Styela clava: one gene and its partners. The protein of the gene in region 4 binds, or shares a complex with, the protein of the main gene of each other region. Links are inferred from orthologs where the notes say so. Each region holds a gene or a part of one and is shown on either strand. Other genes may lie near its edges.

Region 1 (8,801 bases), on a different chromosome or scaffold from region 4:
GGTTTGACGTTTCACGCTGACGAAAACAGTCGGCGATTGTAACAAAATGCAATCGCGCAGCGACTTTTTAGGTCTTCTAAAAATATCAAAAGAAAAAGATTTGACCCCTAATTTATTAATATGTTTGTCAAGTGTCAAATTTACAGCCTCAATAAATATGGTTCCATTACATTTGAACCCATGACAATTGCACCTGTATGCTATTGCACCTATGAAATTTTTTTTGTTTTTCGGATAGTTGAACCCATACTAACCTTAACCCATGGGTTTTAGCACCCGCATATAGATTAAACCCGTGGATATACACATGGGTTCAAATGTACGTGGGTTCAAATGTACGGTCACCAAATATCAAAAGAAAAAGATTTGACCCCTAATTTATTAATATGTTTGTCAAGTGTCAAATTTACAGCCTCAATATATATATACGGTAATTTATCTTTAAAATTTAGATTTATTTATGACTTGTATTAACCCGTTAAAAAAGGTTTAGCATTTAAATTAAGTAAAGTACTTTTAACTTACTCAGGAATATTAATCGGAAAGTAACAATTTTAAAATTTATTTTGGGGCTCCGTGAATAATAGTCAACCTCTTCACGGGCTCCGCAACACCAAAAGTTTGAGAACCCCTGGTCTAAAAGATAATACTGATAAAAGTAAACTACGCTGATATACAACCAGAAATTGAAAATGTAATGCACTACAGATAAATAATACAGTAATAACAACATGAAATTGAAACAAAAAAACAATATTTGTCACATTGCATTGTGACCATTGTGACGACCCTTGTTTTGCCTGTTAAATGACGTCATGTGATATCGTTTTGGTATTCTAGCAGTTTAGACGCTGCGACACGGTCGATCGGTTCTCGGGGGCAGCGTGGTCTGTTGGTGTATGCTGTGTGTGACAGAGTGGAGTCGTCTGAGTGTTTCGGTTAGATTGGTGGGTTTTGAATGTCTGTGTGAATGCGTCTGGTCTTCAGGGATGTTTGTCTGTGTTGTGTGACTGTCGGATGTTTTGTGCTGGACAGTGGGCTGACGTAGGGACCATGTTATTGATTTTACCAGTACAGTGCCATTACAGTTCATTTACCGTAGTGTTGTATTTTCAGTTTTATCGTGGAATTAGCTTTCATCAGTATTGTTCAAATGTTGTGCACCTATAGAATTGTTCATAGTCTTTTTAAATGCCTGTCATAAGTTACTTTCGGCCTGTTTTACAAATTGCAGTAGCTAGTTCATTGTACCAGATTCTAGGGGTCATTTGGTTTTTTATTCAGAGTTGTCTTGGATTTCAGGGTTGGTCAGTGTTTTTGTTGTGTATGTGGTCTTTCTTGCATTTTACTGCCTGGTATCTGTTATTTTTATTTTATGCTTTTCGTTCCTTTGGGGAGTGTTTGGTTGTTTTGGATCGTTTACTGTTCGAGTTGTCAATAAATGACATAAAATAGCATAAAGACTTGGACTATTGAGAGAAAACTTGACGTCAGATCATATTAGAAGATATTCTGAACTTGGATAATTATTTCATACATTGCCGGTACGCTACAATTTTTGGCGAGAGCACGCCAGGATATTTTCTATGAACTATGATTTTTTTTTCTATTACTTGGACTAATGGATGATATGTCAAGGCTCTGGTCAATAACGTGCCTGTTTTGTTTTTGATTGATACCGGTGCGGGTGTCTGGCTCATTGACACCGCTGTTTACTCGACGTTGCAGGAAGATTCGAACATTTCGGGGCTGCATCCTGTTCCAGTGCCACTCCGTACTGCCAGTTGCGAGTCATTTGTGTCTCACGGTGTACTTGATGTCAACCTGACGATTGAAAGCTGGTCTGTGGAGCATACAGTTGTGGTCGCCGATCCAGGGTCACGTGCGGGTGTCTCGCTCATAGACACCGCTGTTTACTTGACGTTGCGGAAAATTCGGTTCGGGTGTCTCGCTCATAGACACCGCTGTTTACTCGACGTTGCAGGAAATTCGGACATTTCAGAACTGTATTCTTTTCCAGTACCATTGCGTACTGCCAGTGGCGAGTCGTTAGTGTCTCATGGTGCACTTGATGTCAACCTGACGATTGAAAGCTGGCCTGTGGAGCATACCGTTGCCGTCGCCGATCTAGGGTCACGGATGGACTATCTTGGCAAATTCGTCGCATCGTTTTGTTCTTGAGGGACAGGATGTTAAGGTACAGCACCAAACAGCTTCTCCCTGCTGTCATGGGACTATAGTGAAGATGTGGTTATACCGGCCGCTCGGGAATGGTTGTTCTAGTTCAGCTACAACAGCCTTGGCCGTCCGGAGATCTAACATAGTAGCCATTGTTGAGCCAATGGAGATATGCAACATCAATTTGGTCGTTTCGATGACGTTGGTGGACTCAATCCCGAATGACAAACTTTACGGATGCTTAAGCGTGAGGGTAGACGGCCTGCATATTTTAAAGACATTTGTGGACATAATTTGGTTTTGACTACTGCTTTTCGTGTTTCAAATATTTTTTTTAGAGATGAAAACATTCTTTCATAATGTTCCATCTAGAAGAGGGGGGTAATGTGACGACCCTTGTTTTGCCTGTTAAATGACGTCATGTGATATCGTTTCCATATTTGGTATTCTAGCAGTTTAGACGCTGCGACACGGTCGATCGGTTCTCGGGGGCAGCGTGGTCTGTTGGTGTATGCTGTGTGTGACAGAGTGGAGTCGTCTGAGTGTTTCGGTTAGATTGGTGGGTTTTGAATGTCTGTGTGAATGCGTCTGGTCTTCAGGGATGTTTGTCTGTGTTGTGTGACTGTCGGATGTTTTGTGCTGGACAGTGGGCTGACGTAGGGACCATGTTATTGATTTTACCAGTACAGTGCCATTACAGTTCATTTACCGTAGTGTTGTATTTTCAGTTTTATCGTGGAATTAGCTTTCATCAGTATTGTTCAAATGTTGTGCACCTATAGAATTGTTCATAGTCTTTTTAAATGCCTGTCATAAGTTACTTTCGGCCTGTTTTACAAATTGCAGTAGCTAGTTCATTGTACCAGATTCTAGGGGTCATTTGGTTTTTTATTCAGAGTTGTCTTGGATTTCAGGGTTGGTCAGTGTTTTTGTTGTGTATGTGGTCTTTCTTGCATTTTACTGCCTGGTATCTGTTATTTTTATTTTATGCTTTTCGTTCCTTTGGGGAGTGTTTGGTTGTTTTGGATCGTTTACTGTTCGAGTTGTTAATAAATGACATAAAATAGCATAAAGACTTGGACTATTGAGAGAAAACTTGACGTCAGATCATATTAGAAGATATTCTGAACTTGGATAATTATTTCATACATTGCCGGTACGCTACACCATCAAATATAATAACTTTGAGGTTTGAAATGCGGCTCTGGGACTAAAAAAGTTTGAGAACCACTGGCCACTGATATAGACCATTACAGCAATACAGTAATAATACACAACCGTTAGCTTGTAAATCAGCAGTGCGGTACAAACTAGGACGGCTGAATAATCATATCGGTAATGTCATATGATTACCGTACCTATCTTTCCAACTACAGAACTAGGCCTACTTTACGATAATTGCCGTATATGATCTCTCATAAACAGCAGAATTTCATTAAATATCATTTGTACACGGAAATCACCAATAAAATCCATTATACCAACCTCGCATTTCTGCATTTATCGAGAAGGTTTAGTTGCCGTTCATCAATGTCAAAAAGTCGGAATTTATAGTCACTTTGCTACCATTGTGAAGCTAGTAGCGGGACTCGGAGTCGAAATTCTAAATTAATCGGAGGCGGAATTTCAGACATAATTATGATTTTATTTATTTTTTTTTTTGTTTTCTATCTTTTAAGTTTATAGCGTTTTTTTTACTTTATAATATCTCTGTGGTTGCGAGTGGTACATGTGAGTGTGTGTGAATTCATTTATTAATTTCAGGTTAGTGAACACGTACCTTTTCTTGGCTCGGCGGTGTGGCGCATTGTGCTAAGCGTTAGGAATACGCTCGCCACCGCATTTCTGATTACTCTTCGTGGGATCGCAGGTTCGAATCCCATGCGGGAATGATCATGTGCGAGAGGATTGCTGGATTCCTCGCCGCCGTAGGGTGGTTCACGTAACCGCTGGTCGGTTACGGCTTCCTCCACCATCAAGTCCATGCTTCCGAAAACAGAACGAGAGGCCGTGGTTCGTCATATGATTAAGCCGTCTTATCGACTTTCCTATCCCCCGGGATAAATATGTAAATCCTATCCTATCCTCCTTGGCAAAACTTTCCATCCTATATCTGTATGTTTTAAACCTAATCTGAGGTTTGGTTTGCTCTTCTGATTTCATGATCAATATTCATTTATTTGTTTTTCCGTAAATATATACCATTGTTGCTGTTATGCTGATTATGGCGTCGGATAAACTTATATTAAGACCGTCTTATCGGTTTCCTTCCCCCCGGGACAAATATGCAAATGTTAACTTATCCCAATACTCGTCATAATGAAGATAAAAGTTACGGAAAGTGTAAATATAGATAAGAATATTTTTTTTAACCTCAGTTATTATATAATGACCAGATCGTTGAAACACCTTCAAAAAAAAAATAATATTATTGTAATATTTTGCATTGGCGAGGTGAGGTCAAGGGTCGGGAAATAACCATTGTTGCAGCATGGCTATTAGCTGCAGTTAGTTGCGTAATCTTTTCATTGTATACTTATTCATTGTATGAAATCACCTAAATAACATCACAAAAATAAAATAAAATTTGGACCTCATGCAATAATATTGAAATATATATTTGATTATTTGGATATACCAAAACTATCATTTGTATAAATCCGATTTGGCAATGGATTTGAATTTGGCAAAAAAAAAAAGTTGGGACCTCATATGCTTATGTATGTATATGTCTGCTGACTGACGCATGTAGAATAGGGATATAACATACGGTAACTCGCGTAATTGAGTGGAGTAGGTAGGCTATTACATGTTTCAAGCGGACGAAACACTGCAACATGAAATATTCAATTACAGAATTGCTGAATTGTGAGTTATGATAAAGTTCTGAACTTATAGAATCTGAATGAGTGAATTGTTATCGAACAGTCTGACAGTCGAACTGAATGTTGAAGTGTAGAAGTGACAATTGGCGTAAGTTGGACAAAAAATGAGGATGGACACTTGTCACTCTCCCGTAAGCTAGCCGAGGGCCACACTTACTGAAATGCCTTGATAATACTTAAATATCTGAATATTGGGTCTCGTGTATTTTCGTACCTTTTTCGTAACGTACTTCTAGTGGGAGTAGCATAACAATTTTTTGATATGTCAATCCTAACCCCCATCTGACTACGCCATCCAAAAATTACGTCACTACGAGATCACAATCCCGTCATAGACTGAGCTTGCCAAATATACGTACAATCGCCCGAAATGGCATTGGCGCCGACGCTAAAGAACAGAAGAACTGACCGACGTTATCGATCTCTCTCTTATTGGAATCGTTGCGACGAGTTCATATAGTTTGAAGGGCTCTATTACTTTCAGACTTCACTGTGACGTGGTAATGATGTAATTTTTGGATGGTGTAGTCAGGTGGGGGTTAGGATTGATACGTGAAAAAATTGTCATGCTACGCCCACTAGAAGTATGTTAGGTAGGAACTACATGAGACCCTGAATATCAATGATATAGTGTTCTAAATAACTTATAGTTTAAATTCACTATAGAATCAACAATTATCAGTCAAATAATTCATCATAATTTTTTCTTTTCAAATTCCATAATGCTATCAATGCAAAAAGGCACCCCACTCAGTCGCCTATTACTCAAACAAAATGTTCTTCTCTAAATCATTGCTTGTTACAGTTTTAAGATTTTGATCAATTTATCACTTGCAGTAATATTGTATGTCTCTTTATTTCAATTGATATTATTGTTACCATTTTTTTTATTACTTGTGTCGGTACAATACTTCATGCACGATGGAAATAGAATATCTGAATATGAATCTGTCAAAGTAACATCTATATTTAATTTATTGCATGCATGTCCCATATCACTGTATCAGTTAGGCAGTACAGCAGTAAAGAACTAAAGAAATGTCTCCTACCAAATTTCATCTTATTTATTTTCATATATCTAAATATTCAGATATTGGGGATATTTTTGGAATCTGTGAATTTGCTATTCTGTTGTTCATCAGTTCTAGGTTTGTTATTTAGACTATAATTACAGGATTAACCTGTATTATGTTTCTAACATTCCTCACTCGGACTTGTTGCAATAAATCTCAATTATTACACAAATCAGTTACATGTTGTGGCATTATCAGACATGCTGTTCAATTGTCTACGTCTTCGATTATGAAAGGAGAGAAGATTCACCATAAAGATCTTTTTGATTATTTCAAGTTTGCTTATGGACGTTTAAATATAGAATCTAGCTCAAAGACAAAATGGCCACCTTCATTATTAGAGTTTTTTGGGAGCAATCCTAAGGTTGCGATTCATAAATTGGAAAATTTGAACAATGATATTGATAATCTGTACGGTGTTCATGATAATTTAAAAGAAGTTGAATCTTTTGTATCTGAAGCATTAACTGAAGCTAAATCTGATGAAAAAGATGATTTAATTAAAATTGCAGAAGATGAAAAAGAAGAACTTTTGAAAGAAATAGAGTCATGTAATGAAATAATTGTGTCGAAGCTTTTTGAAATAATGCACGGTGATAATCAAGTTTCCAACGCAGTTCTCGAAGTGTCAGCGGGCGTTGGGGGTCAAGAAGCCATGCTTTTTGCATCAGAATTACTCGAAATGTATCAATCTTTTTGTATAAGATTTGGACATGATTTTGAAATTTTAAATGTCGAGTATACTGATATTGGAGGATTGAAGAAGTCTTCAGCAAATATAAATTTTATAGATAGAAATATGTATCAATTGTTTAAGAATGAGATTGGTACCCATAGGGTACAACGTGTGCCAGAGACAGAAAAAGCTGGACGAATACACACCAGTACAGCATCCGTCGCTTTACTTCCAGTTTTTAGCAATCGAACTGAAACACTTGATGAAAAAGATGTGGAGGTTCAACGTTTTAAACGCTCTAATTCTTCAGGTGGTCAACACGCAAATAAAACTGAATCCGCAATTCGATTAAAACATATTAAAACTGGAAAGATTGTTGAATGTAATGCTACAAGATCTCAACATGATAATAAGGATCGTGCTATGCAAATGCTAGAAGCTATATTAGCATCAGAAAAACATAGTATGCAACAAAGTGCTCTCACTAAAGCTCGTCAACAGCAGGTCAAAAATCGGGAGCGTTCCGATAAAATTAGGACTTATAATTATCATCAAGATCGTGTGACTGATCATAGAATTGGCTTCACTACCCATGGAATTGCAAAGTTTCTTAATGGTGAAACAACTTTGCTTAATTTGATGGAAAAATTAAACAGTAAAACTCAATTGGAAGAATTAAATATTACAAGTAAAATTTTGCTTGATGAAGGACAATTGTTTTTTAATGACAAGAAAGTCAAATCAGCTGTTTCAAAGTAACTATGATCTGATTATGATTGATAGGCTACCGGAAACGATAATTAGTTTTAAAAATGTTGTTGTTAACTTATATTATTATACAGGTACAATCAAATATTTTTTTTTAGTGAACTTGACTTGGCTGCAAATGAATCAGTGGCAGAACCTATTACCTACAGGTTATTACATTACCTAGTGAGTTGCTGATTGCAACTTGAGTTTGTTAAATTATCTACATATTTGACAGGCTACATTTGGCAGGCTACATTTGGTAGGCTACATATTTGGATTATACCTTTTATTAATTGGCTATAAATCTATATTTGGTATAAGAATGCTCTTTATATTGTTTCATGGTGTGAAAATGATGGCAGTTCTATCGAGAGATGTCACTGGGCAGTATTGCAGGCATTTTATTGCAGTATTTAAACTAAATGTGATAAATGTATTGACATTGACCATCCTATTAAAAAAATATTGTTTCTCAGTGTCTCTTTCCGATTGCTAAACATGGCTTTTATAGTCGAAAAGCGTGTTTTTTATAAACAACTGATTGTGAACTCTTGATAATTGAGCATGAAATTTAGCATCTTTTTTTGATATTTTTAAATGCCAATTTTTTGCTATTGTTCACATGTTCCAAGTTCTTTATTACGAATTAGTCAAATATTTATTAATGTCCATAATATTCTAAAATATATTTATGTTTTTTTCATATTTGACTTTTAGTCATAATTTTAAATTTACCTGTTTGAAAAGCCCAAAATGGCTGTGGCTCCTGCTTCAATCGAGGCTGAATTTGCCAGACGGTTAGCTGGAAACGATAAAAGATGTAGGGATAAAGCTCTGAAGAAATTAAGACAGTTTCTCAATCTCAGATCGGCAAAAACAGATGGTGGATTCACGAGGTGTGTATGTTTTTTGTCGTTACATTGTTTTTATCTCAGGCAGAGAATAATAAAAATTAATTCGGTGATGAACAACTTGGTATAATTTACTGTAGATAAAAAAGTTTGATTTTTTTTTCGGGGCTCACTATTCCTAATAATGATAGATTACAATCTATGTGTCTCAATATTACCTACAGTTAAATATTCTGTGATGTTGCAAGTTTTGCACAAATATGCTATGTATTGTTAAATCAGGATTGTAAATAAAATCCTATCCCTATCCATAGCCTTATTATTTTGGCATTGAAAGTTTGAATATTTCGACTCCACTCCTGATTGTTCTAAAAGGCTCTCCATCACC
Region 2 (6,898 bases), on a different chromosome or scaffold from region 4:
GAATTTGCTGAGCGGCTAGTACACACAGAGGAAGAAAATAAGAGGATGAAGAATGAAATCGCACAAATGCGAGCTCGACACCGGTTGGAACTGGATCGAGTAAACCAAGAAAAAGAAGAGGAGCTTGCTGAAGTACACAAAAGAGTGAAAGCAGCAATTGTGAAAAAAGAAGAATCAGTTGCACAAATAAAACAACAGCATGAGTCCGCAGTTAAGCGTGCTGATCATCTAGAAGGCTTGTTGGAAGCACAACGAAAACAACTCCTTGGCAGGAAGAAATAGCAATATCTCCTGGTTAATAGAATTCACCATCAAATATCTTGCCTGGTCCAGCTTAAGGTCTTTGATTTTCAGCCCTGAGCCTAACATAATGTCATCGGTATAACCTTGTAGCTCCAGCTTTGTCCAAAGCTCAAATCGTTCATTTGGTCACTACATTGTCACATTGATGGTTTTATACATGCCCTACCTGGACTGTTTTGGTAGTTTGGGCGACACATGTGCCTTGTTCTGTATTTTAGCATAGCAGCGTTTTATCCCTCACAGAGAATAGAGAATATATTTTTGTACTAAAATGATTACTCAATTTCACCATGGGTATCATGTTTTACTGAAATGTTTTATTTTTTAGTTATTGCAAATTTTGATATATTTGATACATTATAATAGTTACTTTTCATTGTGCCGGCTCTTTTAAAATGGGAAGGTGAAAGAGGCAGGATAAGTGAGTAGTTCATTCGGATTGAGCACAGAAAGTAAGTAGGGTACGGCATTAAATATTAGGTCAGGGGGGGGGGGGGGCACAATGCTAGGCGTAAAACTGATTTTACTATCCACTTCTCAAGAAAACTCTCCGTTCTTCCTAGTTTCGTTGCTTGATGAGGTTATTTCACATGGTGTTCCTCCCTTTTTTAGTGCATGAATTGTTTGAACATAATGGAACTTGGAATCTACCAATCAAAATAACACTGGAATGATAAACAAACAGCGTGGCCACGAGCCATAAAAGGTTGGGAACCACTGTAAGAGGTGGTCTTGGAACATCACTTCATTTGCAATCTAATTGATTTTGGAATCATATAAATATCAAAATTGGGTATTATTCTTTTATTTCCTCAATCCGTTGGGAGAAGTTATTTTCCCGGCTTCCCTTTTTATACTTTGCTTATATCTCAAGAAAACAAGGATCAAAGAAAACGACAAACAATTAATAGGACGATAACAGCCCATTTTGACAGGCATTCGTTATGGGATAATGTTTCTAAGCGAATGCGGATATGCACATCCGTCTATGTGTATCACATTGCAGGCTTTCTCAATAGGATTGTGTTGAGATTTAAAACATAGACGTTCACTTTTAAAAATTTTATTCCATAGCAAAATGCTATTGGCACATAGAAAATAAGACTTACAATTCAATTACCTTCATACATAGATCTAGCATGAACTGAAATTACACAACTGCAACAGTTAAAAATGACAGAATGAAGGTAATTAGAGCCACAGGAAACTATGCATTTTATTTTGCTCAATATTAACAGATATACTATTTCCCAATGATATGCTAAGTTAAAATACATATGGTTCGCAATGCCACTTTGGGGGTATAGAAACAATAGTGTCAAACCATCACTATTGGAGGTAAGCAGTCACTGTTTAGCTTGTTTTGCAATCAAGTATTTAAGTAGTACATGTTTGGAAGCTACACTAGATCAAAGTAGGGTATACAAACATAAATAAAAATCGCTCTTACAACTTACCGAAAACAGCACAAACAAAAAGAAACTATGATAAACGCTGTTTTCGATAATTAGCAAGACCGAAAATAGATCGAAATGTTTTTATAAGTCTATGCACAATCACGGATTGTTAAATCAGTTTTTTTGTGGTTGGTATTAGTTCATTAAAAATCATTGAATCCTTTCCAATGCTTCCAACATTAATATCGAATTTCCGCGAACGACCACCATTCCGACGGGTGCAGTGGTCCCGTCTTTTCTGCGCTCTGTTCCATCATCCACAACTAGATTCATGAAAGGATCGAATCCTCGCAAAACTCCCGTAACAGATCGTCCACCATTCAACTTTAAATCCAATCTTTTATCCATAAACTTCTTCAATTCTGGTGGATGGGCCTTGCTCATCTTGATATTACGCGATACAATCCAACAGCAAATACCGAAACATACAGTGCGCAGAAAGTGAACTGAGCGCAATCAAAACGCGCGTCCTTATTTTAAGAAGTAGCTTGCTTCTCCCCCTAGCGTTTGAGCTCATCAAAAAGAATATGGAGTAAATGATGCAATATGCTTACTCTGGTCTTAACTTATTTATTAATTAATTATTTAATCATAAAATATACAAATAGGAAAAATATTCAACCAAAATTGTATTTATTTCCTAAAAAACTACCCGTAACGCTCCAGTGGCAAAAGTATGAGTAAGCATCTAATATATTTGCATTGTCAGATTTTGTTGTTCTGTCGTTTCAGAAGGGACGGATTTACATTTAGAGGTCTGGAAGTTACGTACTGTGCCGTACCTTGAAACTCCAAGCTATCATCATATATTTTTCTATTAGAACACAATTTTTTAGAAATTAAATCGCTGTCGCAGTAGTATAATTGAAGATGGCACCTCCGGCAATTGATGAGAAGCTAAAAAGTCCTACTGGAGACGAACAACAAATGGATATGTTTGACAGTGTCGAGGTGAGAAAACCGCAAACAATGTTAGATAAAATTTTGATGAGGCACTAATAATCAACATTACTTATTTTTTTGTATATTTTTTTTCACTGAGTAATTGATTTTAATACTTTTACTTTTAATACTACTACTTCTTTTAACAATACCTTTCCATCTAAAATCTGTATGCTTCAAACCCTAATTAAGATTTTGTTTGCTCTCCTGATTCTATAATCAGTTTTGTTTTCAATTATATTATCGTCTATTATGCTGATTATAGAGTCGAAATGAACTTATACTCATACTTAACAGTTAGCCTATGCTGGCTATATAGTCAGAAAATGAATATATATAACATATATACTTTCATGCTATAAGTTACCTAAAAGTTGAATGCCCAGTCTCTGAATTAAGGTTTTGATTTGTCAGTTTGTTGCCAAATTCGAAAAACTTTGAATATTGCTTTTTGGATTTAAATACCGGTAGTGTACCGGTAATAGTTATTAACTCCACACGACCACACACTTGAGTAACAGGTTTAAAGGTTGATAAAAATCACTATTTTTTATTTTATATTATTAAAAAATTTCAATTTCAGCGTGTTTTGAGCTTGCCATCCAATGATGCCTGTTTAACTTTGTATATGACTTTTTTAGGAAGCACTCGGTGAAGAAGTTATGAAAATGAGCAATGAGGAAATTGCAAGTCGAACGAAACTTCTTGATAATGAAATTAAGGTTTTCTTCATATTATTTTACCTTAAATAATATATTCACAAACAATTTATTTACGGTATATAGATATTTATATAATGCTCTTTGTTCTCAATTTTTTTTTTTAATCCCTCATTTTCAAACTGTTTGACAGAACTTTAGTGCCAAATTTTTGTTTTCACTGTGTAAGAATGCTTCGGAGCAAAATATACCTTATGTTGAATTGCTTTCCAGATTATGCGAAGTGAGACGATGAGAATATCACATGAATTGCAAGCTATGAAAGACAAAATAAAGGAAAATGCTGAAAAAATTAAAGTTAACAAAACGCTGCCATATCTTGTCTCAAATGTCATTGAGGTATGTATGATGTTGAAACTTGAAACTTCACTCTATATATTTTTTCTAGCCAGGAGGTTGGTACATCATGCTAAGAGAGGGGAATACGCTTGCCATCCCAACCTTCGATTTCTCTGCAAGGATTCGATTGCTTTGGGACATATGTAGGTACTCTTAGCCATCGTAGGGTGGTTCGCATAACCGCTGGTTGGGTACGGCAAATCCAAGTTCATTATCTGAATAAACTATTGCCATACCCGACATGGACTGGTAACTGGATGAGAGGCAGTGGTTTGGCAAAGGGATAACGCCGCCCTAAAGTCTCTCTGCTCCCCCAAGATAAATATGATATTCCTATTCTAAAAATCAAAAGATGCTTTTATGAACTGACATCAACTAATCTCATGTCATATTGATTGGTTATCATTATCAATGAATAACCCTTTTAAATCTTCTCTAAACGACTTTAATTACCGTATTTACAAAACAATGAAAAAATGAAATATTTCAGCTTCTTGATGTTGATCCTCAAGAGCAAGCGGAAGAGGACGGAGCAAATGTTGATTTAGATTCTCAGCGCAAGGGGAAATGTGCAGTGATTAAAACATCAACTAGACAAGTATGCCATCTGATTTTATATATATAGCATGTTATGTGTATACACTAATTCAGTGGTGCCCAAACTTTTTGTTCGGGAGCGCCAAATTATCAGGGAAAAAACTTTTAGAAAAAAACTGCTACCATCAAATAAAACTCAATTTTATGATCGTTAATGTGTACTTCATACCTTTTAAAGTTAGTAAATATGTAGGCCTAAGGAATAAAGGTAAAAGGTAAACTCTTCTTCCTCATCTCTGCCTGATTTTCCTCTGGAATGGTGAAAAAATCACTCATGTTTGCTAAACTCGAGTCAGCAGAATGATGAAAAAATCACTCATGTTGGCTAAACTCGATTCAGCAGATAAATAAACTGCAGCTCGCGAAATTCCAGTAGGTAGTGTCTATTTCTATCTTTATGTAACAATAGAGGCAGACACTACATAACAGAAAGTAAATTTGTTGTGGCTCAATTAGCGTCTCTTTGGAAACCGCTGCACTAGTTAGATATTGAGAGAACAATATAACTGAATCTGTTTCATTTATTTAAGTGAGTGTATGTAAACGGCCAGATCATTAGCAAACAGTCATTCATTAGAGGCTTTCAAATTTTGATTCTTCATTTTAATATAATTTATATCCGTTTTATGGTTTGATGAATCAATATATTCTCTCTTTTTGTTTTTAGACGTACTTCCTGCCTGTGATTGGTCTTGTTGAACCAGAAGATATGTCTCCTGGTGATCTTGTGGTAAGATTAATAATAGTGTTTGCCAGGTTGCTTCTGAAACAGATTTAAAAAATCTGGAATATAAACTTTGATTTATATACAGGTTGAATGACTGACTTTATTGCATTGACTGTGTGTGTTATATTTCGAAGTTTAAAATCCGGTACTGTACTCTAGTAACCGGTCCGGTAGTATGTGAACCAAGATGGCGGACACCGGAACGTAGTACGTGTGTGTGCCATGTTGGGTTTGGCCATGATTTTATTTCAATTTTCCTTATTTTAGTCCTATTACTAGTTCAGGGACTAGCCAAGTGACTCCCGTAGTATTTGTCCCTGGAATTATGGCCCCTGGAATTATGGCCTAACCCTAACCTTGCACTCGTACTACGTTCCGGTGTCCACCATCTTGGTTCACATACTACGGGAGGTCCCAAAATCCTACATGGCCATTTCGTTTTCAAATCGGAATCTTAATTTTTTTTTAATTTACTAAAGTTGATTTAATCCTTTCTTAAAATTACTCAGGGTGTAAATAAGGATTCATATCTAATATTGGAAAAGCTTCCAACAGAATATGATTCTCGTGTTAAAGCAATGGAAGTTGATGAAAGACCTACTGAACAATATTCTGATATAGGAGGACTTGACAAACAAATTCAAGAGGTGATCATTCATACAAAGTAGGAAAAAAATTAAACAAACAGTAACAAAAATCAAGAAAATTGTTTAAACCTTGTTTGTGCAAGTATTGGCAACTTTGCCGAATTTCCATCCTGTATTTTATCATTTTGTACCATGCCGAATTAAAAATAAATCTTATCTATCAGTATTGAAAAACTGCTTATTATTTACAGAAATTGTGGGATTAGTGAAAAGATTCATTGTCACTTATAATCTAGGATTCTATAGTTTTTTATCATTTCGTTACTAGTTAATCTTATTTCTTATTTTTTTCTATTAGTTAATCGAAGCGGTTGTTTTACCGATGACTCACAAAGATAGATTTGTCAGTATTGGAATTCAACCACCCAAAGGTGTTCTAATGTATGGGCCACCTGGAACTGGAAAAACTTTGTTGGCAAGAGCTTGTGCTGCGCAAACTAAGGTATTTTGAGTTTCAAAATTTAATGATAATTATGAAATACTTTCTAACTAATGAGGATATGCTCAAAGCAACATTACACACATTCACTAAGAACGTAAAAGACTCATTCTGGGCAAAATGGCAACTACGGTACCTACTAGAACACGGGTGTGCAACATTTTTTGTCGATGGGCCATATAACTAACATACTTCAAACATCTAGGTGGGCCACACGAAAAAATCAGTGTTTCCATGTACACAACAAATTAAGAAAGTTTCTGATATGTAAAATATGAGTTATTTAACATTAACATTTTAGTGGGAAAATTGAAATTTTGAGTTCTTGCATGGTTTGTTAATATCTGATGTTAACAAACTGTCAGATTAGGATTTTATGCTTGATCAGGGAAAATTTGGGTGTAGATAAGGGCCACACTAAATGGCTTGGTTGGCTGGGACCTCGGGTTGTGGCCCGCCGGCCACCTGCTGCGCCCCCCTGCACTAGAATGTCAAGTGCTTCTCTTACCATATAGAATTATGGGGATTCATCACATATCAGTAAATCTCTGTTGACGTGAGACTTGAATAGTAATCAAATATCACAATTAAGCTTGATTAATTCATATATGACTTAGTTAATAAAACTTAAATGAAACATATCAAAGTAATGAAATTAAACTATATTTATATATCAAGATTTTAGTTTCTCTTACTGTAATGTAGTTTTTGATTCTTTATTGTTATTC
Region 3 (8,691 bases), on a different chromosome or scaffold from region 4:
GCAGCAACTAGCAACATATATAAAGACCGGGACTTCTGACAATTCTTGAGAAAAGTCTTGTCCGGACACCGGTCCCGCCGCCATTGCTCGTCGACTGAACCGACGGAACGGAAGACTTTGTAACGTAACTTTATTATTATTATATTTATTGCTGGGAACTATGATGTCACAAGAGCATTCTTAGGTTCTACGATGTCATGGTCGCAGTCGCTTACTACTACCATGGTTACCTCATAATGATTCATCATGAGGTAACTATGCTACTACTGTATTTTGGCTTGACATTCAAGTAAAACACGACACTAAACTAGACATATAGCCTATTACCAACATTTTCCCGTTTTTCTACTTTTAATATTTTGAATGAGTTTGGTTTGATTGTTTATGTATGTAAGGTACCGTAATCTAGCAAAGTCGGCAGCGTATTAAATCTCCGTTTTAGAATTTGGGTTTGTTACTTTTCTGTCTATTTTCGGTATATCCGTATTTTCTATGGATATCGCAACAATCTCACTATCTGGCACCCACTAGAAGACGGGCCCTATTTGTTTTTTAAATTTGTGAAGTTGTGGACGCAATTTCTGATTAGCTTTGAACTTTTATATTGATTTTGTTCCCTCCGCTCATAATACGCATTTTGTTTTTCTAAATGTTAAGACTTGCTATCACTCAACTTGTCGAAGGGTAGACTCACTGCTCGATTGGGGCTTCCTTGGATTCATTTCCCATCCTTGAATCCGAATTAGTCAATAAAGCAATCAAATTGAGTCAATACACCTGAAAAACAGCTGGCCAACTAATCTCATAATACATGGACTGCTAGCAGGAGAAAATGTGTAAAAATTTCAATTAAAAACATGTTATTTATAAACACCAGTAATGAACAACGGTTTTCATATTTTGTATACTTAAAACTCTCGTAATTCTCTTCTTGTAATTTTGTTTTTGATAAATGAAAATAAATGACATCCCCCAAAATAAGCTCTATCTAGTGCCAAAGAAAATTGAAATAGGACCCTTGTTTGTTGAGTCCTATTTTCGGGGAAACGCGGTAGTAATCAGCGATTTTAAATTGTAAACTATGCACACGCTAACAAGCAACGTTGACCATGTTCGTAACGAATTAAATAAATTCACCAACTGAATATTCTAAATTCTCTGATAAGACGTTCTAGATGAAATTTTTTTCTGAATTCGCACAATAGTATCTATCTATACTTTTAGAAATGCAAATGCAAAGAGGTCGAAATTCATAGTAAGCCTGAGGAATGGCAGAATTTTATTCATATCTAGATCTGAACTTCTAAACTCGCAGCTAAAAGTTGATTTGAACTGATTCCTGAAATAAAATCATGCGGACATTGCTAGATAAGTCATGAACAAATGAAGATTTTTTCAATTTATTCTGCAGGATAAGAATGTTGAAAAATTATGACGAACAAGTCCACATGACAAACCAGGTCTCTTGTCAGATTACCAGTCCAAGCTGGGTATGATAATAGTTATTGTTCTAGTAGCATGAACCTGAATGGGAATATGGTAAAGTCCGAACAAATAAGGGTGTATCTCCTCCTCTGCAAATCTCCAATGCAATGCTTACAGATTGGTTGGTGCATATGATTGATATTTGATACCGATACACCGATGTTCGAATAATTTCTATTTATCCAAACTTTTGATAAAAAACTGGAGTTAAGGGTGGTAAGGTACTTTTAAAACCTCTTCTTTCTGATTATTTCTGGTTTCCATTGAACTGGATGTGTTTCTTCAGAGGCTTCATCATCTTCTTTATATATTTTTATTGTCTTGTCAGCCTCACAAGTTACCAAGCGACTCTCACTACGGTCAAATGCAGCAGCATAAATTCCACTTTCACTATCCAAAGATCCAGGCTGAACAGGGGCTTTTGTTCTCTGAAAATTATGTCCTGTCCTCCAGTCCCACATATGAAGAGTTCCATTATCAGCACCAGACACTAAAACTCCATCTGAATTGAGAGCTAAACAGTTTACTATGGCATTATGGCCAGAAAGATTTTGTATGAAATTCCCATCTGGAAATTTCCATTGTTTGATGTTGTCAGGAGAAGCACTTGCAAATGTGTATTGTCTAGGGTGAAGTGCTATTGACCGTACACTTTTTTTATGATTTGTAAGCACTGCCCTTGTTTTTCCAGCAGCAAGATCCCACAGCCTGACAGTACAATCATGAGATGCTGTGATAACCTGGGGTTCAACACTTTGGCATTTTACATCTGCAACAGTGTTAGAATGACCAGCAAGAGTCATGATATTTGATTTTGTCCGCATATCCCATACTCTTGCAGAGGAGTCTCGTCCGCAAGTGACCAAAATATCAATAGTTGGATGTAAGTCAAGGGCGTAGCAGGCACTTAAATGTCCGTGGTAGTGACGAACAACTTTATTCTGTTCTAGGTCCCAGCATTTTACCAGTTTATCCTCTCCACATGAAAACAAATATGGATTCCTCGAACTAACTGCCAGTCCTCTAACAGTGCTTATATGCCCAGTGAGAGAAAGCTTCAATTTGCAGCTTGCTAAGTCCCAAATTTTAATAGTACGATCGTTTGACCCTGTAACAAACCATTCATTTCCTGGTTCAAAGGCAACACACCGAACCCATCCAAGATGGCCACTTATGACTCTATAAAGTTTCCAAGGTGGATGCCATTTAGGTTTCGGCATTATTGACGCTTTTTTCATTGTAGCCAATGCTTTGGTGTTTTGATTAACAGCAACCAACGCTTGGCTACTTGAGTCCTCAATTGGTGTATGTTGTGCTCCAAGTTTTGATGCTTTTACTTCGTTATCCATCTGGTTGTGTTGCTGTGTATTTTGTTTATCTTGCTGCTGTACCTGTGATGCCTGTTTAATATCCTTCGCAGTTGGCATGTGTAATACGGGGCCATATTCATTTCGCATCTTCGTGTTTCGGCGTATTGCTGCAGCTATTTCATTGACTGGCAATGGTGCAGCATGATCAGAAACAAACATATCATGTGAACGTTTCAAAGAACGAAAGACTAATGTATGTACAGAATGCTTTGTTACTTCCTCCATTTTGCTAAATTTCTTTATTCTAAATTTTTCTGAAAAAAAAACAAACGACTTGTTGTAAGTTGGCCATATTTGAAAATGATGTACAGAATAGCAGCATTGCCAATGCATTGGCACTTCCACAAATATGATAGTACTAGCTAGTATTCCGATTTACATTTAATTTATGATCACCAATAATCAGATTGTAAAAGAATTTGAGTACCTACCATCAAGTAGGAAGAAAAAACTAAAGTATGAAATCGTTTAAAATATAGGCCTTTTATATTACATGCATTATATATAAAAACTATTTTCCTCATACAATCACAGGCCTTTTTTAATAAATAGTTTAGCCAGTTTTTCGATCAAGTAAGCTAACAAGCTTGGCGGTGTGGCAATCTTTCTGGACATCACAGTGACGTATTAGAGCCCATCAAACTATACGAATCGTCATCCAAGAGGCACAGACAACATCCAAAATCGAGCAAGCGATTTCTCTCATTTTTTTGTCGCAACGATCTCGATATGAGAGAGATCGCAAGCCACTTGTCAGTTCTTTATTATGAGCGCAGATGCCACTTTAACTTTGGCAAGCTCTATGACGTGATTGTGACGTCGTAGAGAAAAATTTTTGGCGGAGATGGCGTAACTTTGGATGGCATAGTCAGGTACCGTAGGGGTTAGGATTGACATGTAAAAAATTTGTTATGCTACGCCCACTGCAAGGGGCGACGGACAACTCGGCTACACAAACAACTCACAACAGAGGTCAGTGTCAAGTACCGGTACGTTCTGACGTTAGGTCAGTCTGTCAGTAGGTACGGTACCGTACGAAACTATGCAAGAACCACGACTGGATGGCGGATGCTACGATCAATACATACAGACATAGGGTACGGTACTATGCCTGCCACATAACAAGCACCAGAGAACGGCGTGCAAACTCCGAAGTCACGGCATGGAATCAGTGAACGAGTCACACCGCCTGATATCGTGTGCAAATCTACCGAAAGCGCGTTAAAACCTACATTCTGTGTGTACAACTAACACAATATTGTCCTATTTGAGAAAACTTGAATGTACAAGTGTAAAATTATTCAAATGGAACATCCCAACTTATGCTTTGACTGACTCGGAGCATGGTCTATGCTCAAGAGTCCCGACTATCAAACCGTAAATAAATACTAATACCGGTAATACTAATACAGTGATACGATCAAACGACGCTGGGGATGTGTTTGCAACTTTGCATGAGTCAAAGGTCAATTATTCGGCTAAACTAAACTAGGGATCACCAAACTTTTTTGACCGCGGGCCAGGTATGACTCAAACTGAGTTGAAACGGGCCGGACAAATATTTTTGTCAACACAATAGACTCCCAAAAGTTGGGAAATCCATCCAACAATATAAATTCTACATTTCTGAAGTCTCGAATATTAAATTCTATACCGCAGAATAGGGACCTTTCCCCGAGCATCGACTTCCTTGTTTACTTCGTGACATTGGCCAATCAGCAAGATGCAGAAAGGAAAGTAACAATGCCCCCTTTTCGCATCCGCTCAGACCGTAGTAGCAGAGCCATTATTTAATGGCTATGGTAGTAGTATATATTTACGCTCAAACACTTTTTTCACTCAGACAGATTTTCAAACGTGGTCGTAAACACTACCTCGTTTTCGCGTTTTTGAACTGTATTCGATAGTTTTCAGTTGTGTTTCGGAAACTTAAATATAAATCAGATAATTCCATGATGACTCTGTCTTCCTAGGAGTTTTAATTTAATTGCAGTAATAAAAAATTAGTATAGAAATGGCTGTGATAGACTAGGCTAAAATTCTTTACCGGTACTTTTAAAAAAACAGATTGTTATATGCGATGAATCATATTGATGGTTTGAAACACATACCCCATTTTACCGGCGCCAACTCGCAAAAGCACTCTCAATATAGCCACGAAAATTTTGCAATGATAAAGTATAGGAAGAATTTTTCGGGAGGCAAAGGTCGGGGAAAGGTCCATAGATTAAGAACAAATATATATGATTTATAACCAACTATCCTGAGGTTAGCTGCTGGCAAAACAATTGCTCTCATGAATATTCGCATGTAAGCAGTACACAAGTTAATGTGACTTGTACTTTAGGCATAATGCACGTTTGACGTTCATTTTAGCACGAGAAACGTACACAGCAACAGTACCGCTGAAAGCACGCGCCACGAATGGACGAGTGCATCCTTCGCAGAAAACGTTGCCTACCGGTAGAGAATTTTAGCCTATTTTATCACAGCTACTTTTTCATTACTGTAATTAAACTACAACTCCTAAGAAGGCAAAATGATGATTGACTTATTGGACACGTAGTGGACATAACGATCGTTCAATATTATGTTGTTGTTCTTGTTCTTTGACACGTTTTTAAAAAGTCGCTTTTCTCTTCGAATACTGGACCAATTGCTTTGAAATTTTCAGTGGTTAAAGATTAATTTTTTTGCTAGAAGGCTATTACTTTTATTTATTTCAAAATTTTGCGTGAATTCTATGAAATTTGATATTTCGTCTAAAATTTTGCTGTATTATTTTTTATCCATGGGAACACGGATTTTAGTCAGTGTCATGACTGGCTGTACGTTTTGATTCTGCAAAATTCTTGCTACTGGAAATTCAGAACTTTTTTGAGGGTACCGGTAGCGTCAAAGGTACCGGTAAGGACTGATTCGCTCTGGTCTAACGTGTCCATATATTTGTGCGTAGCTCTCTTGTTTGATTCATACTTCGGAATCACGACCAAAAACTAACGAAAAGCATTCAAAATCGCGAAAACGAGGTTTACGACTAAAAATATGTCGAGTGAGCGACAAGGTTATTTTATCCAACCAGTAAAAAACAATTACATACAATATTTTGAAAGTGGTAATCGTACAATTTCACTGTGGAAGGGAAGCCAAATCTGGGTTTAGAGTAGCGACACCCAAGGTTCTAATATCTAGTTTAAAAAAATCGGGTGATTTAATTATAAAAATACTGTTATTGGCGGGGAGTACCGTATGGTTTTGGCGAATTTTATAATTAAAATATATTAATAGAAATAGACAACTACTAGAAATTAGATACGAGCTCGGACGCCGGGACAAGACGTTAAAAAGGGGGACTGTCCCGTATAAAACGAGACGTACCGTAAAACCGGCTAACTTCGGATGCCTTGTAACTTCGGATGAAATTTTCAATCATTCATATTTCAACTAAATTTCGTCGTATTGCGCTTCTGTCGGTTTCTATAGTAAGGCCTCACATATCTGAATCTGCCGTAGCCTCCAATCGCTCGATTTGATTTTTTATCATTCAAAAAATCATATTTTACCAAAAAAATGACACCGTTTTTTCGAGCGGCTCAAATCGTGACTTCTACAGACGCTACCTTCGTCAAATCACCGCCAAGCGCTAGAGAGCGTACACAATGTATACAAAAAAATACAGTGATCACAAGGTGTCGTACGAGATTCGAGTGAAATCGATTATTTTGATTTAAAAATTACATCAAAATATCGACGTTTTGATGATTACGTACAGCGTGACGTCAACGACGCAAATCCCGTTCTCTCTCTTCGTAGCCGACGTCACTTTGCGTAGCTCGTGCGTTACTCGCTGCGACATTTGAACGCCAGACATCGCGGCGCCCAGTTTTGTGAAATTTAAAAATTATGCTTATCCATGATCCTAGTCACTAAATCCTACAAAAAAAAATCCTATTTAAAAATATGGGTATGCATACGCTTAATGCATATGAAATTTGTCGATTTTTGTTTTTGCATACTTCCTCCGACACCGATAGATATCGTAGCAATTGGTAATACGTTAGGCCTGAAACATGTATCTATACGATCATAATGATTAGATATGTCTGTAGATTAGATATGTCGGCAGATGATAATAATATCGTTAACAGGTGAGCGTAGAACTCTACATACATGCACACAGCAGGAGGTTGGACCACATACAGGTGAGGCGCAAAATGAAAAAAAGTGGCAAAGTTTCTTTTTGACGTTTTTATCCGTTTATTGTCATTTGACTTTATTAAGTGAAACGAAAGCGAGGATCGAAAGTCACACCGGGCAGGAACCTCTGCCGAGCCGATCAACGGGGAGCTCTGAGAAAATCAGAAAATATGAAAAGTGATAATCAAGACGAAACCTGCTCTGCTTGTGGATTATGGAATGATCCAAATGGAAGTACGGAAATTGAGGTGGAATGGGTCGGTTGCGAAAGCTGCAGCGAAACACATTGGTTCCACAAGAACTGTTGCAAAGACCCGTCTAACCCATGTGGAAATGATTACAATTCTTGATTTTGCCAGCGTTTCCATCAATTCATCTGTTTATTTTTAACTGTCGAATTTTTGTTCATACCTTACTTGTTCCATATTGCTTTTTGATTTCAATTTTTACTTTTGCCAGTGTTTCATTCGATTCATCCGTTTATTTTTAATTGTCTAATTTTTGTTCATTCTTTACTTGTTCCATATTGCATTTCAATTTCAACCTACACCAGTGTTAGGTACTTTCAATTCTTCCGTTTTTTTTTTGTTAATCCTTTTCTTGCATTGAAAATAAACGATCATAAAAGAACGAACTAGCATTTTGCAATAAATTAGGAGTAGTTAGTGAAATATATACGAGTTATAATAAAGGACACAAGAATAAATAGTTAAGCTTCGCGAAGCGGCAAGAGTAACGTCACGTAGTAACGTCACGTACAAACGTCAGTATTCAACACGCAAGACAGGTCGTGGCGGCGTAAGGTCTATTCAGCGACGTTGTCACGCGTCATTGCTTACGCAGACATTTCTCTCTCACGACGAGTTGACGCAAAGAGAAAAGTGGCCATCCGAAGTTAGATAATTTTAGAATAGACGAATAAAGACAATAATTTCAATGAAAAAAGGCTTTGATGGATATGGAACCGACTTTATCAAGACGAGAATAGCCACAATGTATTATATTCCAAATTTGGCTTCAGTTGAACAACATGCGGCGGAGATATTGTTCAAAATATAGTGAAATCATCCGAAGTTAGCCGGTTTTACGGTATGGTAAGCCTATAAATATATGGTAACGCGCTAATTACAATATTTTATGTTTTAGAACCAAAGTTTTACCAAACGTATCCAATGAATATCACACACAAATTGGACCCATTTCCGTTTTTTTTGTTTCCTATTAATACGCAAAGCATATACTTAGTTATATTGTTTTTGAAAGCATGGACTTGATGGTGGAGGAAGCCGTAACCGACAAGCGGTTACGTGAACCACCCAACGGCGGCGAGGAGTCCAGCAATCCTCTCGCACATAACCCTAACCCTGCATGGGATTCGAACCTGCGAACCCACGCAGAGTAATTAGAGGTGCGGTGGCGAGAGTATTCCTAACGCTTAGCCCGTTGAGCCACACCGTCGCGTATATTAAAGATTCTATGAAGATATAGGCCATATATTTTTTATTACGTAATTTTAATTAACGTCGTATAGCAAATTATATATATTATTAAAATAGTCTAGTATGAGCAGTCGTTGAGTATGAGGGCAAATTAGGTTGTTTTGAACGGAAGCGATTGTTACGACCGGGGTAATTAAATA
Region 4 (8,727 bases):
AGGTAATTTAAATATATCTCATTGTTGTGACAAGTTGCATGCGCAGTAAAGTAAAATGTGATCACGTTTTTCAACTATACCTATCCATAGCAGGGCATAAAAAGCTTAGAGGTGTGACGCATCGTGCTAATCGTTGGGAATATGTTCGCCATCGCACTGATTACCCTGCGTGGGTTTACAGGTTCAAATTCCAAGCAAAAATAATTATGTGTGAGAGGATTGTTGGAATCTTCGCAGTTGTAGGGTGGTTCACGTAACCGCTGGTCGGTTACGGCTTCCTCCACCATCAAGTCCATCGTACCGAAAACAAAAAACTGGCTAACTAAGCCCATACCAGACATGGGCTGGTAGCTGGACGAGAGGCCGTGGTTCGCGAGATGGTCAAGTTGGCTTATCATCATTTCCCTTCCAAAGATAAATATGTAAATCCTATCCCAGTATGAGCAATTCAATACACAGTTAATATACCTGCACTGCATGCTTCAATAACTGTTCCGTATTCAACATCACACCTTCAGATGCATCAACGAATAGAACTACACCGTCACTCAGACGCATTGCAGCCGTTACCTGCGAAACAAACAATTAAAATTTTCAAAACAATGGTTTGTTGAATCACCGTTGATCAGCGGATCTGAAAAGAGCATATTTGGTATTTAGGTGACCTCTCATCAATTATTATTATAGACAGACTTGAATTGCGATGTTTAGGATAATACACAGTGAATCTGGGCAGAATTAAAGGCCCAGTGAAAAGTTCAACAGGAATGTCAAGATGAAACAGAATGCATCGAATTGATACAATAAAATTTTATATTTTGGGAGAAATTTAAAACATTTCCATTTGTCACGAAAATTGTCAGTTTGAGCTTTTGACACCTCTTGCTAAAAAATCTATATTGTAATTACAAAAAAAGGCTGAAAAAATAACAAATCCGATAAAACAGTGGGAACTTCTTTTTCGTGGCATTATCAAATTCAATCTCTATAGCAGCGGCAGCTTTTCGTTCATGCGACACCAAATTATCGGGCAAAAGAATTGCTGCCTTCAAAAAAGACTCAATTTTGTGATGCGTACTTAATAATGCATTTTTAAGTTTGTAAACACGCAGACCTAAAGAATAAATGCAATGTCAACAAAATGACGTAACATTTACACTTATTTATCTAATTGGGGACGCAAAGTTCAATTTTATATGTATAATAAGATATTACAAACTCAACACTTGCCTCATCTGAAAAGTTGACATGACCTGGAGAATCCATAACATTGATAAGATAATTTTTGCCTCTTGTATCAGGCAATACCAGAGTAACAGGCTGTGATTTAATGCTTAATCCACGTTCTTGTTCAGTCAATAATGTGTCGGTAAATCTCAACTGTGAATAATGAAGAAAAATAGATCAAGGATTTATGGCTGCAGCGTATTTGATATTTGGAATCCTGGATAATTCTGGATCATATTCAAATTAAAAAAATTCCAAGATACTGTTTCTCTAGCATGTATGCCCTAATAAACTCGGTAGGACACAAAAAAAATGATCGGAATAGATCTCAAGATTTTCAAACTTACGTCTTTAGCTTCTTTCTTTGCAATATCTGGATGAGTTTGTTCGATCAGACAATCGACAAAATTTGTCTAAAACAAACAATAACATGGATTGAATAAAGAAGGACATCATATTAATATTTAGAAACCAATGAAAAATGCTTTTCACTGTCTTTTTATTCTTCAGAACGTCCAAGATTTTTACCAGACACTGTGGCAGTGGCCAGAGGAATAAAAATAATTAATCATTGAAATTTGTATATTTAATTAAATGTTTTTAATATACAAATTTAACTAATATATTAAAAACAAAAAATTACAAGCTGAAAAAAATAAATTTTATTATTTGTATGAAGTGTTAGAAAATAATGAATGCGAAAGAAAAAAAAAAAAGATGGCAAGGAGATCAGCCACTAGAATTTCTAGTATCACCCGCTCTATTTACTGAGACAAGCTTGGATCACAGCTTTATGCTACAGCAAGAAGTATGACCTCTCATTTGGTTAATAGTCTGGACCAGTATGACCGATTCATTGATACAGAGATATCAGAGGCAGAAAAAAATATAGTCAATATTATTAAGTAGGTTCTATCCTGCACTAATTATTTAAATTCACATTAGCGAAAATGTTGTTAATAGAGCTGTAGTGTCGGGAAAAAATTTACAACTGACTCTGAATACGAGTTGGAAAAATTGGCTCCGTCTCTGGGTAAAAAAAATCCAGTTAAAAAATGCTACAAACATGGTACTAAATCACGAAGCACGTTGGCCAAAACCTTATTTATCCTATGGTTCAATTCATCTTATGGCATATTGACATAAATTTGCAAAAAAATAATTTATCAAATACCTTTCCATGATGCAAATGTCCTGCAATAACAACATTTCTTATAAGTTCTGGTGAGTCCATGAGATCAGCAAGATATTCCATATCATATGTAGTGTTTGGTAAATCTTGGACCATGAGTGCGAACTTCTTCCTTCTTATCGGAGCAATAATCGGTTCTGTCAGTGGCTGTGCATCTTCCTCTTGCACTATCGTCTGAGTAAAATTGTTGAAAAATTGCTCAACCATAAAATTTTAGAATATAATAGATATAGAATAACCACAACTTTGCAGGTTAATCCTTCGGAATTTGACAATTCCAGAAAATCAGATTGGTGGCCGAAAACAAAAAACACCAATATAGTCCTAGTAATTTTATCTAAAAAAAATTATCCTGAAACAATATTGAATAGTCGAGAGCTTTGATCCAAAAAAGCGAAACTTAAAAAAACTCGAGACACTTTTATATCCCTGTAAATTTTTATTGAAATAATTTGGGTCTAAATAGCCTCTAAACTTCAATTTGATTACTTTGAAACTTTTATTTCTCAGTAATATTTTTAACATTCACCCTTGTTTAATTTAAAATGTTGCAATTAAAACAATAGATTTTCAATTGAGTTGGTGAAAAGAAAATCACAAAAACTCACACAGTAGTAGGAAAAAAAAATCAAGTTGATTAACTATTGCCAATGCAACAGACAAACAAAAATTGCTAATTTTTCGATGAGTGCCTATTAGCCCGAATCTAACATATCTCAACATAGTGAGGATACATTGGCAACATATCTAAATCGCAGCCAGAAAAACTATACTGAATTATATAATGTAAAACTAAACCGAAAGTTTTACCTCGACTTCTTCACCGTAAACTTCTTCATGGGTTGGATAATATTTTTTGTCTTCATGTAAAACAACTTCCATCCCAGTTTCTAAAATTAAATTTCCTTATTTCAATATATTAATTGTGGGTGCGGTAGGTCAGTGGTTAATACGTTAGACTTAGCAGTAAATCCCATGTCCAGGGTGTCCCCTTTCTCACTATGGTAGCTTAATACCTAGCATTGGTCTCTTTTGCAGAGCCTTGTTCAGAGCAAAGGACTATGAATATACCATATAAGAAAAATGAAAATTGTATCATGTCGAAATTGATTTTGGATTTGAGAATTCTATTCACATTATAAGTTAGTTATCTAGAATTCAGACTAATAAAATTTCACAGAAAAAATTTTTGTTACTAAATCTGGCCGGTGTTAATAAAATCATGTTTTACATTAAATTCTGCATAAAACCAGTAATAAGTACTATTATTGAGTTTGGTGATCGCTATTTTTGATTTGCAATAAATTTATATGGGATGTAGGCAGACTAAAATTAAAATACCAACGCATGAAAACGAGACAAGAATCCATGGTTCGATATATGATCAAATTGACCTATTTTTTTTTCCTTTTACTAAGATTAATATCATAATCTACATATAAAAATATTGTGTGTATTACTTGCAATTCCACTGCCATCCATATCAACATCATTGTCATCGTCATCTTCTTGCCGATCGAGATCATGTGATGGTGACATGTCATTATCTACTTCCTCATCTTCTTCATCGGAATCTAACTCAGGTCCGATATAATTCCCAAACTCATCGTACATTTCTGTATCCATGGTGGAATATGTTTGTTGTATCTATATTATGTCCTTGTATAGATAAAGTAAATTGTTGAAATACACCTAAAAAGTTGGATATTAGGCAAATATTAGATGCATAGCTAATACTGCAGTAGGACACAGTTCTCTTGTTCCAAAATTTTCAGTCATTTGATTAAGTAAATAAATCTAAATTAATCGCAGCCGTCACATGATCAAAATTGTGAAGGAAGGAAGGAATCTGATGAGGATATTTTTAGATTAGGATTTACATATTTATCTCGGGGGAGAGGTAAGTCGATAAGATACCATTCCATGTCGGGTATGGGATTAGTTAATTAGCCTACTTGTTTTTTTGGAGGCATGGACTTGATGGTGGAGGAAGCCGTGACAGACCAGCGGTTACGTGGACCACCCTACGACGGTGAGGTGTTCAGCAATCCTCTTGCACATAACCATGCAGAGTAATCAGAGGTGCGGTGGCGAGCACATTCCTATCGCTTAGCACCGCTTAGCACGATGACCCACACCGCCACGCCAATATTGAGGCTCAGACTGTCTCGTAAAGAAGGGGTTTGCACTCAGCATCATGATTGATGTCTCTGCTATTGATGATTCTATTGATGCAGCTATTCTTGGAATCCAAGTCCAATCTGTGCTTTACTGCCTGAATAATTACTAAAAAATCTACTACTATTTACCCAATTTTTGTTTCGTGGGAATTTTTATATATGCAGTATACGTGCTGTTGTGAGAGATACAATCTATAGGTCTGCAGACTATGTACTAAATGCAGAAATGACCTACAAAAAGATGCAAGTCTCAACTTCAATTCAAGTTAATTCTCAGAAATAGGGCCTACTCCAATTCTTATCGAAAACATATTTATATAACATTCAAGTACTGAAGTCAAGAAGTAGTGGTACATGAGGTTTAATATGCTCATCTGATTCTGCACGCAGTTTCTATTTTTATGTACTCACTATTCAAAGCAAATAAGTCAATAACAATAAATTATATACCAGATATTGCATATTATATCAAGTTCATTCATCTAACCAAGTTCGGAATGATTTATCAATTTTTTCAATATTTCTTCGTGATCTTCAAGGTTTTAATTCTAGTTCAAACGTTATCAACATTTGTATTGACATTTTAAAATTGAGACATCATGTCATTGACATCATGTCCCATCCTAATTATCGAAGTTAATCTGATAACAAGAATATGAAGTCAAAACAACCTTACGCTACGTGCAACGCTACTGTATACCTCTGTGTATATCGTCAATTACAAATCTGCATTTGTCTAAAACTCCCTCGCACGAAACGCATGGGATACGTTTCCTACCTGCAACTCATCGTACCATGACCAAGTATGAATAGACGAATTTGACGCATTAATGATTATAAGTATAAGTATAAGTTAGTATAAGTTTATTTCGACTCCATAATCAGCATAACAATACATTTGACAGATAAAAACAAATAAATAAAAACTGATTATGAAATCAGGGGAGCAAACAAAACCTTAGATAAGGTTTATAACGTACAAAATATAAGATGGAAGGTTTTGCCAAGAGGAAGTGGTACGTGTTTACTCACCTAAAATTATTAAGTTATTTCACACACGCTCACATGCACCCACCAGCCACACACACAACCACTGAGAATTTATTTAAGTAAGAATAAGACGCGATAAATTTAGGGTATACTATACAGTAAACAAAAAATAAATAAATAAATACTAGAAAAGAAAATTATCTGCCACACCATATTGATATTTTTGTAATGATTGCCATTGCCAAATTGATCGATCTTCTAATCGTTAATTAAGATATAAAAGGAAGATTCTATTGAAAACATATTGCCAAGCTGATTATAGTTGGAGTCAAATGCCAAGTTGCCCAACCAAAGTTGCCAGAATTGGGTGCATGAAGAGGTGGGCGAGACCATTTCATTCCCCAAATTAGAGCCTATTATTGCCAAATTATAGTCCAGATTGTAGTAAGTAATTAAAGTTACCGGTAACACTAAAATTACTATAATTAAGTAAAGTAGGATGTGGAAATAAATTGGTTACAAAGGGTGTAAGTGAGGTTTTTCATTCTTGGGTATTGATTTCAGACAAGGATATAGGAATAAGGTTGTTATTTCACAGGATATCGGAGTCTTTTTTGATTTTTTTCTTATGTGTTTTACTTCATTTAATCACTTTGAAGTAACCTGAAAAACAAAAAATAAAACTGCGAGTAGATGTTTCAATGATTGGGTGAAGGGGAACGCTCTGAACTATTTATTACAGGCAAAAAATAATTGTTTAATTAAATGGGATGTATTGTCATTGTATAGCGATGGATAGATGATCTATGATGACATTCTGCTTGGGACAGAGAAAAAAATTTATCACACCATGCAAAAAACACACAAAATTTTACTATCTATACCTTGGCCAACAAGTCAACTCAAACACCATGCCCTAACATAAAACGCATGCATACATAAATGATATAAAAACCACATCCAATTACAATGACCCACAGCAAATTAAAATCTGAAGGGGAGAAACCAACATAGCTCTACTGCTCGCCTAGTTGCAATAAGTAGTAACCTTGCAGGAACAATATTGTACTATCTACAACCCTTATACCACCACTCAAACATAAGACCAAGCGTGTATGATAAGGACATCACAGCTAGAAAAACATAAAAACACGAGCGTGAAGTGATAGAATGTGTGCAGTTATTTAAAGAAAATATCATCCGGGTACGTTAGCTACCTATATATTTAAAAATATATATATATATACTCAAGCATGTCACAATACCATTTCTTTGGTGCTGGACTAGTTCTGGCCAAGTCGTGGCAAGATATAACAATATTATTATAGCTGTTCAACATTTTCATTAAAACAATAATGTGCAAGTGTGGAGTGTCCCAAGTTTTTGTCATCGAATACCACCAGTAGTAATTTTTAATATTTGGAAACTAAATGAGACTTGACTTGTTTTTGAAAAGATTTTTTGGACTTTAAGGTCTTCAAATTTAAGGAAAGAGAATTCCAAAGTTTGGGTCCAGTAAAAGACAAGGAATGCTGACTCACGGATTTACTCATGAAAGGTACGAATAAATCAGAACTGCTTCTTCGGTTGGAGGTATTTTTGACAAGTATGTCATTAAAGCAATTGGGCAGCGCATTATTATGGAAGTCGTGAGCTAGAGATAATATTTCAAATTTCATCATATCTTCAACCTTAAGTATATTTAGTGATTTGAAGTAAGATTCTACACTTTCACGTTTTCTTTTACCAAAAACTATTCTTAAAAAATTATTACAAATACTCTGCAGTTTTGAGACAAGTGTTTTATTACCATGAAGCCAGACTGAACAACAATATCGAATATGGCTAAGTAGTAATGATTGAAACATTGCTAGTAGAGCTGATTGATCAACACACTGGGATACTTTGGCAGAAACTGCTAGGTTTCTTTTTGTTTTACCAATAACATGCATTATTTGTGATTTCCATGACAGATTTTCATCAAAGATAACTCCTAGAAATTTTATTTCTTTCACTCTTTCAATTTCATTGCCATTGAGCAGTAGTTTTTTTGAACAACTCACACTTTTATGCTTGCTTGGATGGAATAATACAAATTTAGTTTTGTTAGCATTCAGAGATAATTTATTAACTAACATCCAGCTACGAATGTTGGTTAGTTCTTGGTTTGCAACTGTGAATAGATCTTCAAGGTTTTCACCATGAAGAATCAAGTTAGTGTCATCAGCAAACATGATCGACTCAGAGGATTTCAGACACCTGGACATGTCATTAATGTAAGCTAGAAAAAATAATGGGCCAAGTAAAGATCCTTGTGGAACTCCGTGCTTCATGACACAAATATTTGTAGAGAACAGATGTTTCCATGAGAATCTTGGTCCATGCGAGGGGTTTGGGCATTACTGTATGCGAGAACGATGCTGAGCTTGATAATTAGTGTCTTGCCTGTTACTCAAATATCGTATCTTACGCAATTTAAAAAAATGGCGCTCCAGAAGTGTGTGTACCAGTATTTTAGGGGGGGGGGGAATTTGGGGTTGGAAGATATTTTGTTATTAGTGATAAAACTATTTGTAACTTATAAAATATTCAAATACATTTGAGAAACGAAGCGATGCGGGATGGACCACAGCACTCCCGTCGGATTTTATTCAAACTAAAGAATCCAGGACATTCTTATTGGACACGTAGTGGACATAACGATCGTTTCAAAATTTTGTTGTTATTGTTATTATTTGTCTCCATCATTTTAAAAAAAATTGCTTTTCTCTTTGACTACTACCAATTGCTTTGAAATTTTCAGTGAGTAAAGATTGATTTTTCCGCCAGAAGGCTATTACTTTTATTTATTTCTAAATATCGCACGAAATCTGATATTTCGTCTAAAATTTCGCTGTATTATTTTATCCATGGGAACACTGGCTGTCCGGTTTGATTCTGTAAATTATTTCTACGCGAAACTCGGGAATTTTTTGTGGGTACCGGTGGCTTCAAAGGTAAATACTGCTTCGCTCTGGTTAACGTGTCCATATATTTGAGCACAGCTCTCTTGTTCTATATCAGTGAAACTTCTGCTGCCCCATTACCGCTGATAGAGATTTTACATTGAGTTTATATTTTATAACTTCCAGAGAAATG

What was found.
Region 1: 116 kDa U5 small nuclear ribonucleoprotein component-like (region 4) and pre-mRNA-splicing factor ATP-dependent RNA helicase DHX16-like share a complex: the UniProt entries of both Homo sapiens proteins name them as parts of the minor spliceosome. The link is inferred for Styela clava from reciprocal best matches to the Homo sapiens genes EFTUD2 and DHX16.
Region 2: 116 kDa U5 small nuclear ribonucleoprotein component-like (region 4) and putative small nuclear ribonucleoprotein G share a complex: the UniProt entries of both Homo sapiens proteins name them as parts of the minor spliceosome. The link is inferred for Styela clava from reciprocal best matches to the Homo sapiens genes EFTUD2 and SNRPG.
Region 3: 116 kDa U5 small nuclear ribonucleoprotein component-like (region 4) and pleiotropic regulator 1-like share a complex: the UniProt entries of both Homo sapiens proteins name them as parts of the minor spliceosome. The link is inferred for Styela clava from reciprocal best matches to the Homo sapiens genes EFTUD2 and PLRG1.

The regions. Positions count from the first base shown.
Region 1 is NC_135261.1:8,620,338-8,629,138, reverse strand, and holds the start of pre-mRNA-splicing factor ATP-dependent RNA helicase DHX16-like, read right to left. Parts: upstream 3,683-8,801; 5' UTR 3,664-3,682; intron 1-3,663. Other genes in the region: peptide chain release factor 1-like, read left to right, coding at 6,252-7,571; uncharacterized protein LOC120329709, read left to right, coding at 8,316-8,458. UniProt on the Homo sapiens protein: Required for pre-mRNA splicing as a component of the spliceosome. Contributes to pre-mRNA splicing after spliceosome formation and prior to the first transesterification reaction.
Region 2 is NC_135255.1:6,374,269-6,381,166, forward strand, and holds putative small nuclear ribonucleoprotein G, read right to left. Parts: upstream 2,226-6,898; 5' UTR 2,145-2,225; coding exon 1,911-2,144; 3' UTR 1,351-1,910; downstream 1-1,350. Other genes in the region: centrosomal protein of 131 kDa-like, read left to right, coding at 1-282; 26S proteasome regulatory subunit 6A-B, read left to right, coding at 2,631-2,711, 3,344-3,424, 3,635-3,760, 4,251-4,358, 5,025-5,087, 5,594-5,731, 6,030-6,173. UniProt on the Homo sapiens protein: Plays a role in pre-mRNA splicing as a core component of the spliceosomal U1, U2, U4 and U5 small nuclear ribonucleoproteins (snRNPs), the building blocks of the spliceosome.
Region 3 is NC_135263.1:17,386,053-17,394,743, reverse strand, and holds pleiotropic regulator 1-like, read right to left. Parts: upstream 3,138-8,691; 5' UTR 3,081-3,137; coding exon 1,713-3,080; 3' UTR 1,385-1,712; downstream 1-1,384. Other genes in the region: uncharacterized protein LOC120340947, read right to left, coding at 1-84; uncharacterized protein LOC144432066, read left to right, coding at 6,982-7,057, 7,137-7,402. UniProt on the Homo sapiens protein: Involved in pre-mRNA splicing as component of the spliceosome. Component of the PRP19-CDC5L complex that forms an integral part of the spliceosome and is required for activating pre-mRNA splicing.
Region 4 is NC_135262.1:13,318,905-13,327,631, reverse strand, and holds the start of 116 kDa U5 small nuclear ribonucleoprotein component-like, read right to left. Parts: upstream 4,111-8,727; 5' UTR 4,046-4,110; coding exon 3,880-4,045; intron 3,310-3,879; coding exon 3,230-3,309; intron 2,594-3,229; coding exon 2,402-2,593; intron 1,641-2,401; coding exon 1,575-1,640; intron 1,381-1,574; coding exon 1,231-1,380; intron 571-1,230; coding exon 469-570; intron 1-468. UniProt on the Homo sapiens protein: Required for pre-mRNA splicing as component of the spliceosome, including pre-catalytic, catalytic and post-catalytic spliceosomal complexes. Component of the U5 snRNP and the U4/U6-U5 tri-snRNP complex, a building block of the spliceosome.